3 linked regions of the Danio rerio genome follow. The protein of the gene in region 3 binds, or shares a complex with, the protein of the main gene of each other region. Links are inferred from orthologs where the notes say so. Each region holds a gene or a part of one and is shown on either strand. Other genes may lie near its edges.

What was found.
Region 1: the proteins of flna (region 3) and cftr are in contact, whole or in part, in a crystal structure (PDB 3ISW), measured with the Homo sapiens proteins. The link is inferred for Danio rerio from reciprocal best matches to the Homo sapiens genes FLNA and CFTR. Residues at the interface, in NP_001104026.1 of Homo sapiens: Thr2263, Gly2267, Ala2268, Gly2269, Gly2270, Leu2271, Ala2272, Ile2273, Ala2274, Val2275, Glu2276, Gly2277, Pro2278, Ser2279, Lys2280, Ala2281, Ile2283, Ser2284, Phe2285, Asp2287, Phe2311; in NP_000483.3 of Homo sapiens: Ser10, Val11, Val12, Ser13, Lys14, Leu15, Phe16, Phe17, Ser18, Trp19, Thr20.
Region 2: the proteins of flna (region 3) and itgb2 are in contact, whole or in part, in a crystal structure (PDB 2JF1), measured with the Homo sapiens proteins. The link is inferred for Danio rerio from reciprocal best matches to the Homo sapiens genes FLNA and ITGB2. Residues at the interface, in NP_001104026.1 of Homo sapiens: Val2241, Thr2263, Ala2266, Gly2267, Ala2268, Gly2269, Gly2270, Leu2271, Ala2272, Ile2273, Ala2274, Val2275, Glu2276, Gly2277, Pro2278, Ser2279, Lys2280, Ala2281, Ile2283, Phe2285, Phe2311; in NP_000202.3 of Homo sapiens: Leu753, Phe754, Lys755, Ser756, Ala757, Thr758, Thr759, Thr760, Val761, Met762, Asn763.

What each region holds. Positions count from the first base shown.
Region 1 is NC_133193.1:22,075,796-22,079,453, forward strand, and holds part of cftr (cystic fibrosis transmembrane conductance regulator), read left to right. Parts: intron 1-150; coding exon 151-397; intron 398-3,172; coding exon 3,173-3,265; intron 3,266-3,617; coding exon 3,618-3,658. UniProt on the Homo sapiens protein: Epithelial ion channel that plays an important role in the regulation of epithelial ion and water transport and fluid homeostasis. Mediates the transport of chloride ions across the cell membrane.
Region 2 is NC_133184.1:46,761,687-46,764,512, forward strand, and holds the end of itgb2 (integrin beta-2), read right to left. Parts: intron 1,173-2,826; coding exon 1,009-1,172; intron 917-1,008; coding exon 848-916; 3' UTR 580-847; downstream 1-579.
Region 3 is NC_133198.1:22,656,960-22,661,192, reverse strand, and holds the start of flna (filamin-A), read right to left. Parts: upstream 2,867-4,233; 5' UTR 2,613-2,866; intron 1-2,612. UniProt on the Homo sapiens protein: Promotes orthogonal branching of actin filaments and links actin filaments to membrane glycoproteins. Anchors various transmembrane proteins to the actin cytoskeleton and serves as a scaffold for a wide range of cytoplasmic signaling proteins.

The sequences.
Region 1 (3,658 bases), on a different chromosome or scaffold from region 3:
CTTTGTGTTTTTGTTATCAGCTCAGTCTCAGAGAATCAATGTGCTGTTGTTTTTAGCTATTTGATATCTCATGACACAGTCTCCAAATATCCTTCCCATCTGGCAATCCCCTTCAGCTTGTCATTCTTTTTTCCCGTAAACTGTTTGTAGGGATGAGGTGAAGCTGACCAGGAAGATCGGCTCGCTGCGCTACTTCTACAGCTCGGCGTACTTTTTCTCGGCCATCTTTGTGATTGTGGCTGCAGTGGTGCCTCATGCTCTGAGTCGGGGAATCAACCTGCGCCGCATTTTCACCACTCTCTCCTACTGTATGGTGCTGCGGATGACAGTCACCCGACAGCTGCCCGGCTCCATCCAGATGTGGTACGACACCATGCGGCTCATCTGGAAGATTGAAGTGAGTCTAAACGCTCTTTTGCTTTGAGAGCTTTTAAAGTCCCTGTGAAAACAAAATAATGAGTTTTAATGTTAGTAACAGCATGTTAGTCTTAAGGATGTCTATAAGCTAGTGTGTTACAAAACAGCAACACAATTCACATTTAGAAGATGTAACAATTCAAAGTTTGCAGTTTGTCACTTCCGCTTAAATGGATCAGCAATTTTTTGACGTCCCCTTATACTTTAGTTTCTCATCAAATCTTCTGACCAATCAAACACTCTCTAGTATTGGACATTTTTGCCCCATTCACGATCTTTTTGCTATGTTGCACATTTGTTGGCAGAGCTGTGATATAAATAAATAAAACCTTTTTTTTTTCATATTTTGGTTCAAATAACATCACACTAGTGAAGGGAAGTTCATTTTACCAACTTAGATGAATGAGATGAACAAAGGTTTTTTTTTTGAGTGATTTTACATATTTAGTTCACTTTGCCAAAATCTGATCGAAATTAAAATGTCACAGGTTGCACAGCTTACAAACACATCTACAACTAGCCCTAATCACACTACAAATTACAGTCAGACATGATTGAGAAAATAGTTATTCATTGTTTACCTGGGTCTTTTGTCTATGATTAGCTCAGCTCGCCTCTTCTGACAAGTCTTCAAGTTTGAGTTGTTTGTTCACGTGGCACAAACAATCACATGTTAGCTTAAATGATGCACACAGTCTTAGCCGATAGCCGATAGAAATGATTAGTTCACTTTTGAGTCTTCAGATTTTTGAGTCATTCGTTCATCATATGACAGCATGTAAAGAGACGAATGACTCAAACTGAGGACTTGAGAGATAAACGGATCGTTTCTTTTTCTGAAAGTATCTAGATGCAGACTTGGATTTGCAAGCTGAGACTGCATATCTCAGAAATGCAGTGTCAGTCACAAAACACTCAGTGGAGCTAGTGGCATCACTGTGAGGAGTAGGGTTAGGTGTGCACATTAAAACCATTGCATGCAGCTCAGCTTCCAACTGCACCCAGTCTGCATCCAGATCCCTCTCCATATGATTGGTTTGCTGTATGTCAGTCTTTCTCATGATGAACGAATGACTCAAACTTGATAGAAGATTTGAAGGAACTAATCTTGCAAATGAACGAATCACTCCCTGAGAGGACTCATTGCTCTCGAGTCACATTTAAGATTAGTTTAAAATGAACAAATCGTTAAAGAACGACCCATCACTGCATCACACACTGTGTTTCGGCTAAGATATTAAACAGAGGTTCTGACTCTCTGTGGTTATTAAACATCCCATTGGCACTTCTCATAAAGTATAGGGGCGTAAACAGGGTGCGATTTACAGGTGGGTTTGGGGGATCTGACCCCCGTAATTAACACTTGATTTACCCCAAAAGGACATCAAAACAAGATTTACAATAGGGGTGTGTGTGTGTGTGGGGGGGGGGGGGGGGGGGGTATTAATAGTTAATAAATAGTTTCCTCTGATCTGTATCATAAAAAATAATAATAATTAAAAATGGGGCAACACGGTGGCGCAGTGGGTAGCGCTGTCGCCTCACAGCAAGAAGGTTGCTGCTTCAAGCCTCTCAATGTGTGTGAATGAGTATGTATGGATGTTTCCCAGTGATGGGTTGCAGCTGGAATGGCATCCGCTGTGTAAAACATATTATGATTAAGTTGGCGGTTCATTCCACTGTGACGACCCCAGATTAATAAAGGGACTAAGCCAAAATGAAAAGGAATGAATAATTAAAAATAATAGATAACTTACATGTACATTTGACCACCCCTATAATGGTTCATACCATTGCGAATGCCTGTTTGCTCCAAAATAAGGTATTCAGCCAGCAAATCAAGAGCACCAACAGACAGCGTGAGTGTTCACAAAACTTGTTGCTTGTAAAATCGGCTTTTGTACTGTAGGTGTCCATAAAACTAGAAGCATAGTTTGTGTTTTATTATACACTTGCTCACACATGGAAGTTATTCAGTAAAACTAAAAAATATGTGCAGGAATGCAAACTGTTTATTAAATATCACAAATGTCCCCGAGGACCAGTTGCTGTGTGGTGAGCGCACCTGTGGTTGTTGAATCATCATAGTGGATGCTGCACACTGGTAATTTAGTGGAGATACAATTCCCCCTCATTCATTTGTGTGCTTTGGGTAGATAACGTTATACATAGATGCACTGTATAAATGTTCAATAAATGTACTATATAAATGTACTTCACAGGACTTTAAACTAATGATTCCTTAATCAGTATAAACCCAGGATAAACAGAATCCGTTCCGTTTTTAAAGTGTCCCTGAAATCAAAATTAGTTTTTTTGGGGTGTTAGTATCAGAATGTTAGATTAAAGTTTACCTATAGTTCTGTGTACTGCAAAACAAAGATAAATATTTCATTTAGAGGATTTAAGCATTCAAAACTTTCAGTTTTTTTATTTCAGCTTCTTATCATATTTTCTGACCAATCAAGTGATCTATAGTATCTTAAGTGACCCACCCCCTACATGACGCGGCTGTAATAACATATTATATAAACACGTATTCACAAAACTCACCATTCATACAAGTTTTTACTTGTAATGTAATGTAATGTGTATTTATATAGCGCATTTATTGTGTATGGCCATACACCCAAAGCGCTTCACAATCATGAGGGGGTTTTTCCACACCACCACCAGTGTGCAGTGTACTTAATACAAACATGTCAATTGAGACTTGAAATTGACTATTTGTAACTTGTTCAACTTTTACTTCAAGGAATTTCTTAGTAAAGAAGAATACAAGTTAATGGAGTACGATCTCAGCATCACAGAGCTGGAGCTTCAAGATGTGACTGCTTCATGGGATGAGGTGCGCTTCAGCATTCACACACGAAAAAAAAACATTTAAATTGAATTATACTGAGGCTCAAACACATTGCTTTTCACTTTCGAAAGGCAACTAATTGCTTTGCCCTTTGTTGACTGTTTTTTGTGTATTCCAATAGAATTGCATGTTTTATTAAACTAACGACCAATGAAGTCTGAGGTCAATGATTAACTCTAAATTACTGGAACTACATTTGGTGATGTTTTCAATTGTAAATGTGACTTGGCTATTCATTTTCAGCACTCTTGGAGAACAGAGCTGTGTGAATGCATTTGTTGTTTGTATGTGTGCGGTGCGGTGCGGTGTAAGGAGATGTGACGCTGTGTTTCTTTAGGGTCCCGGTGAACTTTTGGAAAGGATAAAACAGGAGAACAA
Region 2 (2,826 bases), on a different chromosome or scaffold from region 3:
TGAACTTAATCCATTTGCATAAATGAAGCAATTTGAGCTTAATAAAACCCAATAAATGAAGAAAACTCAAACCAACTGAGAACTGTAAAACTCAATAAGTTAGGCAACTCAAACCGTTTGAGGAAACTGATTGCTACAAACCATTTGAGTTAAACTAATCTATATGAGTACTGTGAACTTACTCCATTTAAGTTAAAGTAATGAGGTATTTAATTAACTGCTTAACTTCAACACTGAGTTCAAAACTCTTTTAAAATGAATATAATTAACTTTAAGTAAATTCTGAGTTAACTACACCCATTTCATTTGATAAAGTTGATTGTTGGGTTTTACAGTGTACCGTGGTACCAGTCACACCAGCCATTCCTTTTACACACAAAATGCAGTCATATATGTACCCCCAGGCACATATTTCCCGTTTCTCAAAAATGTAGCCCTGGGCACATATTGCCAATAAGCCTGTGTTGATACAAACACTTATTCTTGACAGGCATAAGTTACACATGAACACATAATTTAGATGTTATTAACATTGAAAGAACAACAACCAGGTTAACATGCAAAGCTAAGCAAATGATCAGTTCTCAAGTCTATTATTTTAATCATGTGGAAAGCCAACATATGTTAATTATGTGCTTGTTTCATAACAGAGAATCTGTAAAATGCAATACACAGGCATTAGATAACAATCACATCATTTCCATACATTTGAATATAGATGGACTCTGAAACATACAGTATTAACTTACAGAGAGCTTCTAAAATGTAAACGATTTGACAAACACACAAACTTTAAATGTTAAAAAGCATCTTAAATTGCATAATACTTTATCTGTTAAAAATTTTCTCATGAATCTCCAGAAAATGTAGGGTTTTGAACAGTGGTTGTGGCATTCTGGAATAATGGGTTGGTACCCTGTTTGCAAAGAGGAAAACATCATCTGCTTAATTAAATGCCATGCATGAGTTTGACAGAATAGCTTTTATATATGAGGAAATGGAACTTACAGAAGTCTTTTCGTGTTTTCTGTCTTTTTCAAATCTCCTCCATTCTCTAAGGTCGCTTGCATACAAAACACCCTTGATGATGAGGAGCATCAGGAGACCAATCAATGCCACTCCAGCCAGAGATCCTCCTACAATTGCTATAATGTTTGGCCCCTCGGGACATTCTGTAACGAGAAATGTACAGGTAGAAAGTTTTTCGTTTACAGTTTCAAACATGATACAAATTAGAAAGCAATATTTAACCAAAATTAATGATCACAGTAATAATTTTGTAAGTATTTACTCAACCTCAAGTTGTTGCAAACAGTTGTCATTTATGCTTTACAGGGGTGGTCCACTATGATATCATATTTTAAACTTTAGTTGATGTGTAATGTAGCTGCGTGAACATAAACAACATCTCTGAATGTAAGACGCTCAAAGTTCAATGCAAAGGGAGACATTGGCTTTTACAGAGTTAACTTAGCAAAGCCTACAGTGAAAAAAGTTTGGGGAATACAAAAAATACATCCGGGCTATTGAGATTACAAATGCTTCAGATTACGCACATTCACCATGTGTATACAACCTGAGCAGCAAAGGGGCGTGGCCAGAGGTGCTGTAATGTAGCAGAGAAAGCTAAAATGCCGTCCATACGCTGCTGTTTCCACAGAGCTTCTTCTGTTTCTTTATTTGGACTTCCAAAGGACACGACACAAAAAGAGAAGTGCTTACAGTTTCATTTTTATTATGTTCTAAAGAATTATAAAAAATATATATAGGTAGCATTTGACAAAGGATAGCTTCCAGAATATCTCTTAGTTCAGTGCTGGATTCGGCTAAAACTCCTCAATGAAGGAACAGCTTTAACCATAATAGACGAAGGTGTGGATTGTGAGCCACAATCTGTAAGTATTTTTATTTGTTAAAATTGATCTGTTACATGCATACTTTATATTGTTAAAGGTATGTTGTAGCAATGACAAAACCAAGGATGTAAACAACAGGAAATGCTGTTTGGTAGTGTTAACAATTTAGCTACAAATTTATATTTATCTGCCAAACCCCAGTAAACACCCATAATCTTTGTCTTTCTCATTGTCTCTATGCGGCCACTTTCCGTGCATTCTACATCTCAAATAACCAACTTGCAAAAGATATGTGAATGCTTCATATTACTTACACATGCTTATATTCCAAATATATATAAAAAACACTTGTCACAATTTATTTTTAAGAGAGCCGGCGTGTGGTTCAGCTGTGTTCTCTGTGTCATTTTCTGTCAGATTTAGGTGCAAACTGATATGACTAACAGCTACTCTGACTGACAGTATCCATAAATCACAGCACATTATGTTAACTGACCAATCAGAGCCTCTTGAGGGCGAGCTTTCAGAGGAACTAGGAAATATGACAGTCATTTTCATGTTAGCTGAGTAGCTGAATATAATAAAAGTAATATATACGAAAAAACTTGATTTTCCACAAATGAAACATGACCACACCCTTGTATCTTACAAACGCAACCTAACCTTAAAAATACACTGTGGACCACCCCTTTAAAGCTCCAAAAATTGCAGCTTTTATAATTTTGTCACTATAAATGGTATTGTTGTATAAAAACTCACAATTTACTATAAGGTTTCATTAGCTAATATTGGTTAATGTATTTACTAACATAAACTTAATATGATCAATAGTTATACAGCATATAATTAATCATACTTTAACATATGCTAATGCCTTTAAATTAAAATTCATGCTTGTTAATATTAGTTAATGCACTGTGAGTTAACATGAACAATGAACAACTGCATTTTCATTAACATTAACAAACAT
Region 3 (4,233 bases):
GCACTATTGTTTCTCAAATCTCATGTGAAATTATATTGTCCACAACCCAGTCCAACTGTAAATAGGCCAGTTGCTCAGAAACAAAGGAAGAACAAACAAGCATTCAGAACATGCCAGTATCCTACAGCTGTGCCCATGTTGTGTTCTGGCGTCATCTGCAGGAGATGTGAAGCATGACATGCTGGTTTTACGTTTTTTTACTTAAAGATAGCTTAGCTAGTAAAAATTGAAGAGCATTTCAAGTTCCGTTTATCATCAGATGAACAGAAATCGTCTGAATTAGCAGGTTCTGTAGTTTATTTTATTTTAAACGAATAACACTAAAAAACAGAAGTGGCAAACCTAACTAATAAGTAAAAAAAGCAGTCACTGAGGAATCAGGAGACCCCAATCTGATATTGATGAAACAGATTTGGCAATCAAATAGTCAATCAATAAACAAGGATTTACATCACATAAACCAATGGTGACATGGAAAATAAAATCCAAATTAATAGATGGAGAGAGTGCTAAATAAGGGTTATAAAAGGCAAAAAAGAGCACATATTTGGTGGGCTGGCCGCCCCCAAATCACAGAAGTCAGCCCCTGCTTTCCAGGAAGAGTCAGGGATGGTTTTACCCTATTCTTAATTACACAAAGGTTGCACAAAAAGTGTTTTTCTAATTTGCTTATTTTAGAAAAAAAATGTTCTAATATGTAGCAGCCAAATATAATAATATGTTAAGGTTTAAGACACATAGTTGAAAGGAACACTGAGCTAAACTCTCTAATCTTCCTTAAGACAGAAGACTACTAACTCACTGCATCTGACAACAGTGAATTTATCTGGATATCTGGGAGAAGGCAATTAGTTACATTTAAGTAGTTTTATATCATCAAAACATGATCTCTACATAAGAATATGTTTAACATTAAACATACGTTAGTGTATATGTTTTCAAACATGAGATAAAATTGAGATAATTGAAATAATTTAACTTTGAACACTGAGTTCATTTGAGGACAGATACTAGTCAGGATGGAGAAGTGATGTTGGCATGTGACACTTCAACTCAGTCACGCTCATGTGGTTTACCCACATACTGGCTGTTAACCGCAAAGGCTGAAGTGCATCTCATCTGCATCAGTGAAAAGCACAGATTACACTGAGCAGGAGCATGGCATGATGGGTACTTTTGTAAAAAAGAGTTTCATTCTTGTGCATCAACAGGATGTGGCTTTGCAAGTACTGCAGTATGTACAGAAATTAAATAAAAAATAGATGCTAAACTCTTTTGTATATTATTCAAAAAATTAAATTAATTATAAGACTGCAAGAGGTAAGATACTTTCCTTCTGTTTACGTGTAGCAATTAATTTAAGCATATACCTTAACTTCACATTTTGACCACTGTTGCCCTGGAAAAAAAGACAGTCTTTTGCGTATGGGCTGACTAAAAGTGGGGCATGTTGCCACATCATATTATATAATATTTTTTAATTACTCATCAAAAAAAATCCATCAATTTTACTCTTATCTAATTTTATCTACTTTTTAAATGATGGGTAAATAGCCATTTTATTAAGTGTAACAGATATATTTCTGCAAAAATGAAACAACACACTTATTTTCTGAACTGTCTTTTAAAAAAATAATGCAATAATTGATCGTACTAAATTTCATTATGTTTTTAATGATTAAATATTTCTTGCAGACAAATGGGGAAGGTGAAAGAAAACGACAACGTAAAGAGATGTAAAATTATCAATGTAACAATTACTAATATTACTGCAAAATCAATTTGAAGGCTAGTTTAGAACCATATTTATGAAATAAGTAGCTATACACATATCAAAAACTAGATTAAACAGACACTCAATTTGACATTTTACTCAAAACATATCAATTGTGACAACATACTCTCATTTTTTTTTTTAATAGTGCGCGATTTTACTGCAAAACCCAGTGTTACACATATCTTGTCATCCAGGTGAGGTCGCGATGGTCGCGATGTTGCATGCAAGCTTCTCCTTGATCATGGGGGGGCGCGCGCAACTGTAACATCAAAGGATGAAGACGCGCGGACCTTTCCATATTTTCCCTTATTTGGTGAGGAGGCCTAAATAAGATTACTAAGTGATGAAATCCTCCGCAGAGATTTAATGTCGTCAATGACAGCATAATATGCAGTATTAATTAAATACGTATACATTTTGGCATACAGACAAACCCAATAATGTCCATAAAAATGTATTTACGCCTACTGTATATTGTGTTATATAAAATATTGTTAGCTTGTTTTGTTTTATCTTAGTCTCATAGGTACTCAACAACAGGTTACTGGACTTAAAAGAGCCTACGCTGTACATGACATGCAGTTATTCAGCATATACTGCACGCGGAACACCCAAACCGCTACTTAAACATGCGCAGAACACAATACGTTATGTTTTGAAAGTTTGCGTCATTGTGATTTTTTAAATTTTTAACCCTTTTCAGTTTAGCTTTGACTGCAAAACCGAACAAAACGTAGGCTGCTCGTTACACCAGCACTTAATGCAAGACAAAACATGCCTCGCAGCTTTTAATAGAGGTTTGATTTGCAACTTTGATGAACAGACGTGAACTTACTTTTTGCTGCTTGTCTTGAAGTATACCTCTTACGTCGCTGTGTCTCTTCTGGGTTTGCGTGTGGCACGGGCAGCAGAGAGTGAACTTCACTGTCCCACAGAGCAGAAACCTCACTGCACGACCCTCCCGGACCGGACGAGTGTCCCTGGAGGAAAGGCTTGTTCGCTGAACTCGAGAAAAACACTAGAGACACCCCTTAGTCTTTTCTGCCTCCTTCTGTCCTCTGTGGTCTTAATGCGAGAACCTTAATTGGTAAAGTATCAAAGAGGGGGGTTTACTCTTCTGCTGGAGCTGACGTGATACCGGCGGCCGCGCCTTCGGATTGTAAAGGTATGATGTCACCCTGTTCTGTATCTGCTCCTCCATCTGCTGCTGCTGATGCCTGAACACGGCTGCTGCTCGACAAAGAGCTGCAGATATTAAACTAATAATATACATGCAATGTAGTTTTACATCGTCTAACAAAACAATTCCTACAGACTCTTTACTCTCTGTTGTCTTTTGTTTCTTTTTCCAGTTGCTTTTTTTCGTGAGTTGCGTTTTACTGTTTTACTTCCCAAAACCTGGGGAAGCTTTTCAAATGATGTTAGATTGAAACTTACAGCCTGTTTTCTGCCAGCTTGCCTATTGTTTAGATGGCAGCATTCAATGTTTTGGAATAACAGTGAATGCTGCCATCCAAACACACAGAGCAAGCAGACAGAGATGACTGAAAAGTGAACACTGGTGGCTTTCAAATAAACTCTGGCAGTATGACTGAACACAATACAGACCAAAGACATCTAAACAAACCAAAAGGATGCATAACAGGATGCAAGACGCAAATATAAAAAGAGAATGCTCATACTGTAAAACAATTATTGTTGCTTAAGCATATCAGAACTTTTAAAGTCATCTTAATTTTTCATCAGTCAAACTGTAGAATTAAAAATAGTTGAAACCCAGGGACGTTGCAACCAGGGGGACGGGAGGATACACCCCACTTACTTTTAGGGCCAGCTTTTGGATCTCATAAAACATTACTTTTTACAGTGTACCTGTTTTTTCATCATGATATTGAACAGCACAATATAATAAAGGTGTAGGAAATAGGGCTGCGCAATATATCGTTTCAGCATCAATATCGCAATGTGTGCATCCAGTCACATCGCAAGATATGCAATGTCTAGTCTGAATTATAGCTGACTATAGGAGCCAGAAAATTGTATTTAATTACTGTATTTATATGAAATTTGTATGATTTATGCACAAAAAATGTTTTTGTTAATTTTTTATCTTTTTACATTTCAGAGTGAAAACAAGATTATTTCACTTACCCCACTGGCAGATAATTTACCACAAAATAAAAAATAAAGTTCCACAAAAAATAAATTACCACAAATTTTCACTTATTTCTTCTGACGGTGAAAACTAAACATTTTGTTTTACTTGGTCTAAGAATTTTTTTGTGTTTTTGGACTAGAAACAAAGTAAGAAAAGCATTTTTTTGTTTTTTTTGTTTTGTGATTAATCAGTTTCTCACAGTATATCAGAATGCTGTTAGACTCCCAGAAAACCGTCAAATAAAGCTGTTCAAACCAACTTCTGAAACTGTATTCATTGCAATATTTATCGCAAAAAA